2 linked regions of the Danio rerio genome follow. The protein of the gene in region 2 binds, or shares a complex with, the protein of the main gene of each other region. Links are inferred from orthologs where the notes say so. Each region holds a gene or a part of one and is shown on either strand. Other genes may lie near its edges.

Region 1 (3,682 bases), on a different chromosome or scaffold from region 2:
TCGTCTGTGTTTGCATTTGGTAAACATCTGTTAAGTCCAGTGAACTGATGACCTTCACGGCCAATCACAGTCATTTCTGTTGAGCACTGGTGAATACTATCTACGGCAAATCATCTGCGTTTAAGACGCGCACAACAGTGCTTAAATGTTAGCGGGAAATTTACGTTTTTATTTAAATTTTAGTACCCAAATTCAGTATCGTGAAAAGTCTAATATAGTGAAAGAATTAATTATTTCATTAACTTGAACTTGATAAATGTCATCTAAAACATGTGTTTGGAAAAAAAAAACTTTAGCTAACTAGTGCCATTTCTCTTAACTTAGCTGAAAATTAGGTCCGATATCCCTTTTTATTTTCACCATCCATTCAGAACGAACCTTCGGTTCACTTGGAAATTGGTAAAATGATAAATTTGTGTCTTTTTTTTGCTAATAAGATATACAGCGAGGTACTCAACAATATGCCATCGAAGGCACCATTCCTGTCTGACTCCAGGTGATACTTCCGGGTTTCTTTCCCCTGCAGCATCGCTGTTGCTTTTAAAATGGAGGCCGCATGTCTATAGCTGGCAGTTCACTCCTCTACTATGGCAACCTCTAAAATAGAGACTAAGTCGAAGGAAAATAAATGAATTTCTTTGGAAGCCATTTTTCCACAAAGGGAAATTAAGTCAGAACTGTAAAAGAGCTGATAAATTTGCATCTCAGAATTCAGGTTTATTTATTTATCTTGAAATAATGACTTTTCACACAATTTAGAAAAGAATATTAATAACCTCAGAAATCGATCATTTAAAAAAAGTCATTGCACTTCTGATTTTTTATTTAAATGCATGTTTATTTTATCAAAATTGTCAGCTTAAATCTCCCAATTCTGATTTTCTTCTTGAAAAATATTTTAATTCACAATGCTGAGATAAAAAGCCATAACTTATTACATATGGTAAAAAATAGGACTCCATATATTTCTTAATATTGTTAATATAGTTAAAACTGTTAATATTGTTAATTTTTCTTAATTTTTTTTGATAGAAACCATGAAACAGATATATTTTTCAGGATTCTTTGTTAAATAAAAAAGTTTTAGAGAACATTATCTAGCTAAATAAGTTATTTGTAATAGTGTAATATCCTGTAATGTTTTGATTAGTTTAATGCATCATTGTTGCATGACAACATTTAAACACACACAATAAGATTTGAAAAAAAGAAAGAAAAAAAAAGAAAAGTGGTATGAGTAATTTTATCCAGGGTTACAAAAAGGACAAATCCAGCTCTGCCACCTCACCTATTTCTTTGGCCAATGCGAGACCCTGTGGGTAAGTGATCGGTGCCAGTTTCTTCTCCTTCAGCTTCTCGATGGTCTCCTTCTCATCTCTCAAGTCAAGCTTGGTGCCAACCAGGATAATTGGAGTGGAAGGGCAGTGATGCCTCACCTCTGGGTACCACTGGAGGGAGCAGAGGAGCAGATCAAAACACTTCATTCTCGGCTGTTTATCAATCTATCTCTTGACTAGATACAGCCTTTCTTTTTGTCTTCTATAAAATAGACGAACATTAAAGCTATTCAGAGCTTCTTTTTCTTTTTAATGACCAATCCCACAATCTCTTTGTAAGTTTGTTATATAATAAAGAATGTCCTGGGAAATCATGCTGCCTTGTTTCACTTCGTTTTAGGATATGTCAAAGTCTTTTTGTTGAAAAGATCTTCTCAGAAAGCACTAGCTGAATCACTGGTTAAAGCCGATGCGCATAAACAATGTCAGTGCTCTCTCAGAAAGTGTGAAAAATGCAGAGCAGAGCAGATGGAGAAAAAGCTTTGAAAAGGTGTGCAAAGACTGCTGTACTTTTCAAGGTCCGACCTCTGAATGTTGGCTTTTAATCTGACAATCACAAATACCATTGTTTCCATACACAAAGCAGCCCATGCAGTCACACCGAGCAGACCTTGAGTGGTCAATGGATGTTTCCATAGCAAGTCCACAGTGTTCTTGCCATCGAAACAGGCTAGCAATCATCCAGCAACATACTGTTATGTTGTGAACGTTGAAGTTAAATAAATAAGAACCAATGATATAATAGCTGACAAATAAAACAGACAATGTATTGTGAGCTATAAAGTGTACATAAAGTATTACTTTAAAAAGATATTGAGCATCATGTCAACACCACAGCCTACCTGAGGATTGTTGCTGACCACTGTACACAAATGGCCTCCACAGTCACCGGATTTAAATGCAATAGAGCACCTTTGGGATGTGGTGGAATGAGAGATTCACATTATGGATGTGCAGGCAACAAATCTGCAGCTATGCGTGATGCTTTCAAGTCAATATGGACCAAAATCTCGGAGGAATATTTCCAGTACCTTGTTAAATGTATGCCACGAAGGATTAAGGCAATTCTGAAGGCAAAAGGGGGTCCAACCTGGTACTAGTAAGGTGTACCTAATAAAGTGACCGGTGAGTGTGCATAACATTTCAATTAAAACAAAATATTGAGAGGAAAAAAAATACAGCCTACAATATTTCAACTACATTTGATATATTTTTTAGTTTCTCATGATTTTCCTCTTTCTTAAAGTGTTATTTAAAATATTTCCTTAACAATAATTTGGCTGTAAAAATGTTTGGAATGTTATCTTGGAATGTTATTTTGTTATGACTCCTCCAGTTTGTCTTTGGTACTGACTAATCTAATGTAAATTAGATATTAGAAATTAGGTATTGCTACCATATATTATAGGTAAATGAATGGCTAGCAGGTTACATGATACATGACAACACAGTGAGTCCAGATTGCATGAACACTACACAAAATCATTCTAAGAGTTTATTTATATAGGTGATCGCAAATAAAATGACTAATTAAAAACAGTAAATACTTATTATGGAGCGACACGGTGGCCTCACAGCAAAAAGGTCACTGGTTTGAGTTTCTCCCACAGTCCAAAGACATGCAGTACAGGTGAATTGAATACACTAAATTGGCTGTAGTGTATTTGTGTGAATGAGTGTGTATGGAGGTTTCCCAGTACTGGGTTGCAGCTGGAATGGCATCTGCTGTGTAAAACATATACTGGATAAGTTGGCTGTTTATTCCACTGTGGCGACCCCAGATTAATAAAGGGACTAAGCCGAAGGAAAATGAATGAATAAATGAACACTCATTATTTAATCTGTTCAACCTTTTTAAAATCTTGAAATGAAAGTCCATTAATCTTTTCTTTCCTGCTTTGATGCACAATCAAAAGATACAGAAATGGCTTTTTAAATAGGAGAGGGGCGGTGCCTGATTTTGTCAGTTGTTGTAGTTATATAATAATGCTGTGGTGTCACATGACAATGTGCTCATCCCATGTAGTAATTACTGCAATTTCTATAAGACAACACATCTTCTTACTGGTTCTTTTCTCTCCCTCAGACGTGGAATGTTGAATTTATATGGCAATACTATCAATGCCTAAATACATTGGAAGCAATAAGGTGAAATTTGTAAACATGGTACAGCTCTCAGAAAATCACCAGTTAACAGGTTAACAGTTAAGTTGTAATTATGAGTTCTACAAGGACATTTTTTTCTAGTCGAATTCTCATTATAGATTGGGTGTGAATGTACATTGAGTGTCAGGTTGTCCCATCTTCATACCAGCGAAAACCATTCGAGAACAGAAAAAAAAGTA
Region 2 (4,479 bases):
TTCCAATTCTTGCTTTATCTATTTTTAAACCCAGGTTAAAAATGTAGGCCTATATTTTTGACTTGGATTGTAAACATTAACGAAGTCCCAATGCACTGCATGTTAGTAATTTTTTGTTGCTATATAACCTCACTGTTTAATTGCTTTTACTGTGTTTTCTGGTGTTTCCTTGACTCATACTTTCACAATTTACTTTGTCTGTAAAATGCGTACAAAGAATGATGTTCATTTTACTAGAAGGATGACTTATGTAAGGATATCGGAGTATAAATCATCTGTCTCGTGAATTTTGACCTTTCTGAAACTTACACAACTTCCCTCAAAATCTAACCAGAACCTCTGATTGTGAAACAAACCAAACATAACCACTTTTTAGACAAGTTACGAAAGAACAAGCTTTCGTTGCCTCATATAACAACCAAAACGTTTGAGATGAACCACAGAGTATTAGGTCAACATATAATTCAATGACTTTCAGGGCCAACTTGTAAATTAAAACAGGAATTTAATTTATGAGTCCTAGCAACTGATAATCATGTTTATGATAATGAAAGTTAAGCAGATACAGACCAGAATGGCATCCAGCGCATGATCAATATGGCTGAACTTGGCATCTGCTCTCAAGCTCAGAGCAGTGAGAAGGTTCTCTTGAGCTTTTTCCCATTTTCCCAACTGCGCCTGTGCCAGTCCAATGTTGTGCAGCACCTTAATATTACACAAGACAAAAAGACTGCTTTAGAGAATGAACTGAGGTGACTGTTAATGTCAGATGTTGCAATATAGGAGAAAACTCTTGTGAAAAACCATCAAGTCAGAAATGGAGACGTGTAAAATGTCACTCACATCACAACTATTAATAAGTCAGTAAAGTTGAAAAAATATCTGGACTTGCCTCACAAGCATAAAGTTTATATCTCAGCCCCAGAGGTGTGTAATCAATTAGTTGATTCCCTCGTAACTGCTTAAATGCTTGTTGGAAATCCAGAAGAGACTCTTCAAACCTGGAGAGAAGGTTAGGATCATCAGTTTATTAAAAGTGGAATGAGATATTTTGTGATCGGCTCTTAAAGCGGCGGTCCACTACTATATCACATTTTAAACTTTAATTGATGTGTAATGTAGCTGTGTGAACATAAACAACATCTCTGACTGTAATACGCTCAATGCAAAGAGAGACATTGGCTTTTACAGAGTTAGCTTAGCAAAGCCGACATTGAACAAAATTTGAGGACTACAAAAAATAAAAATAAAATCCAGGTTAGTGAGATCACAAATGCTTCAGGTTACATGCATTTACCCTGCAGAGCGAATGGGCGTGGCCAGAGGCGCTGTATGTTACAGCAAAAAGAGATAAAATGCCATCCAATAACTGCAATTTTCACAGAGCATCTTCTGTTACTGTATTTAAGCTTCCAAAGGACACGGCACAAGGAATTCCAGAAAATTATGAAAATATATAGCTCTAGCATTTGACAAAGGAGAACTTCCTGAATCTCTCCCAGTTCAGTGCTGGTTCGGCTAAAAACCAACCAGCAGCTCCAACCATAATCAAAGAAGCTGTGGTTTGAGAGCCACAACCTGTAAGTGTTTTTATTTGAGAAAACTGATCTATTACATGCACAGTTTTAAGCGTTAACATTATGTTGTAGTGAGGATGTAAACCGCTAACAATTTAGCTACAAATTCATATTTCTCCATCAAATCTCTGTAAACAGTCACAATCTTTTGCAGCGCTACAGTGTAACTCCATGTGGACGCTTTCCCTGTGTTCTACATCTGAAATAACAAACTTGCAAAAAATATGCAAATGTTTCATATTAATTACACACATGCTTATTCTGAATATATGTGAAAGACACTTGTTAGATTTTATTTTAGAGAGCAGGCGTAAGGTTCTGCTGTGTCCTCTTCATTTTCTGTTTGATTCAGGCTCAAACTGATTTGGCTCTGACCGACAGTATTTACAAAGCAGAGACACAGCGTGCAGTATTAAAGGCGTGATGCTTTTCCTGGTTTGCAAATTATGCACATTATGTTAGCTGACCAATCAGAGCCTCTTGAGGGCGGGCATTTTCATGTTAGCTGAGTATTAGCGTATAATTAAGATATATGAAAAATAATGTGATTTTCTACAAATCAAGCATGATCACACATTGCTTTGCTTCTTATAAACACATCCAAGCCTTAAAAATACACTCTAGACCACTCTTTTAAGTACCTTGAGCCATCAGAACAGCATAAAACGTTTACTTAATAGGATGGTTCACCAAATTTAAATTTAAATTCTCGTCATTTACTCACGCTCAAGTGATTCCAAACTTCTGTTGTACACAAAAAAAGATGTTCTGAAGAAACCGATAGGCATATCCATAGTAAAATAGTATGGAAGTCAATGGCTGATTTTTTTTCAACTGTCTTCAGTTTATCTTCCTTTGTGTTTAATAGAAACATTTGGGTGAACTGTCCTTTAAAGTGTCATGACAAGAGGTAATGATCTTACTTTTCCTTTTTATAAAATGTAACTCCTCTCTGAAAAAAGGCCACGGCCAGGTGTTCATCTTTGCCAATGCTTCCATCAAAAGCCTGCAGGTGTGAAACAGAAATACATTTCCCATAAAGAATAAAACTACTTTTACTTCCTTTTTACAGCCACAAATATTTTAGACTTTCAAAATACAATTCAAACATCAAGTAGTATAAAACATTGATTCAGCCATACAAGAGTACCTTTTCAGCTTCATCTAAGTCACTGTTGTTCAGACAAAGACAGCCGATGTTGAAAGCGATCTTGGAGTTTTTCTCCTCGATACTGAGGAATATCCTGAGAGCAGCGTCTGGGTCTCTTTGCTCCACACAAGCCACGGCCTCATCCCACTGGCGAAGGGTGCTTACGAAGGACATGCTCCCTCAAAACACGGTGAGCAGTGAACACATGAATGCTGCTCGTCTCTGTTGTGAACTGAGCAGAGGCAGTCTGAAAGAGAACAACCCCCAGCCTCTGCTCTGAGAGAGGAAGTGATCAGCTTCACTTGCTTCTGGATTTGCATTTGCCAGTTGAGTAAGTCCACATTTGTGGAGTTATTGTCCCTGTTATATCTTCGATTTTAAAGCCATGATTAACTGATTTTAGACTTCTGCCTAAATTTAAACCCTTTGTGGGAAATCAGATGTTTGTAACAGATCATGCAGCTTGACCTCTTGACACCTTAATTTCACATAATAGAGCATGGCCTTTTCTCATATTTATAGCACTGAGAAACAGGAGGTCAAGGTTGAACAATTTCTGTTTTAAAAAAACAATAAGAATAGACTTCAGAATGATTTTGCTTGTATGAATTCAAAGGTGGCATCACAGTGGCGCAGTGGGTAGCACGATCGCCTCACAGAAAGAAAGTTGAGGGTTTAAGCCTTGGCTGGGTCAGTAGGCATTTCTGTGTGGAGTTTGCATGTTCTCCCCATGTTCAGGTGGGTTTCCTCCGGGTGGTCCGGTTTCCCCCACAGTCCAAAGACATGTTGTACAGGTGAATTGGGTATGGTGTATGTGTGTGAATGAGTGTGTATAGATGATTGCCAGTACTGGGTTGCAGAGAGAAAGGAACAAACTGTGTAAAACATATGCTGGATAAGTTGGCCGTTCATTCTGCTGTGGCGACCTCAGATTAAGCCGAAAGGTAGAGGAATGAATGAATGAATAAATTGGCTGTCCTATATGGGCGTTTCCTAGTGTTGGGTTGTGGCTGGAAGGGCATCCAATGCATAAAATATATGCTGGATAAGTTGGCGGTTCATTTTGCTGTGGCAACCCCTGATGAATAAAGGGACTATGCTGAAAAGAAAATGAATGAATGAATTCAAAAGTGTGCCAATAAGGTGCAAATAAATTGTACTTAAAGATCAAGTATTTTAAGTGTACTTTATGTATGCTAAGTGAACTTGTATAATAATGTACATTACTAACAAACAATACTATTTGAAACTGAATTGACCCTTTTTTAAATAACCTAACACTATTATTTTAACTTATTAAATTAAAAATGTTACGTCGTTCAAATTGTTAAATAGACTCCTTTATTACTCCAACTTCACTTTGAAGCACAGTAAAACATAATTTTATTTATTTTGCAAGTATAATTGCACATGACGTGACCGTAACACCAAACTTCTAGATTAAATTTTGGCTATTGTTTTTGCTCTAACTTTTCTGTGTTCCTAATTAGACATTAATTTACATGCGATTTGTAACTTAGCCCCAAACTAAATGATAATTTTAAGCAATCCCATCTCTCTTGATGCTTGATTACCAACGTCTCTCTAAAGTCTAATATTGTGTACGTGTAATTTTATGTACATTTCCTAGAGTAGCCTATATAAAATAGGATGTTTTAAGTTTAAGTATAGGATTGCTGTATCAATGTATTTTTGTAAGCGCACTGTTGTATCCAAGATTTGTATTTACGTTGTTTTTAATATCCAGAGGGC

The links. The genes of interacting proteins can lie anywhere in the genome.
Region 1: ncf2 (region 2) and rac2 share a complex: the UniProt entries of both Homo sapiens proteins name them as parts of the phagocyte NADPH oxidase complex. The link is inferred for Danio rerio from reciprocal best matches to the Homo sapiens genes NCF2 and RAC2.

What each region holds. Positions count from the first base shown.
Region 1 is NC_133178.1:28,282,487-28,286,168, reverse strand, and holds part of rac2 (ras-related C3 botulinum toxin substrate 2), read right to left. Parts: intron 1,449-3,682; coding exon 1,289-1,448; intron 1-1,288. UniProt on the Homo sapiens protein: Plasma membrane-associated small GTPase which cycles between an active GTP-bound and inactive GDP-bound state.
Region 2 is NC_133182.1:41,684,547-41,689,025, forward strand, and holds the start of ncf2 (neutrophil cytosol factor 2), read right to left. Parts: upstream 2,944-4,479; 5' UTR 2,902-2,943; coding exon 2,728-2,901; intron 2,584-2,727; coding exon 2,501-2,583; intron 1,002-2,500; coding exon 893-1,001; intron 706-892; coding exon 571-705; intron 1-570. UniProt on the Homo sapiens protein: Subunit of the phagocyte NADPH oxidase complex that mediates the transfer of electrons from cytosolic NADPH to O2 to produce the superoxide anion (O2(-)).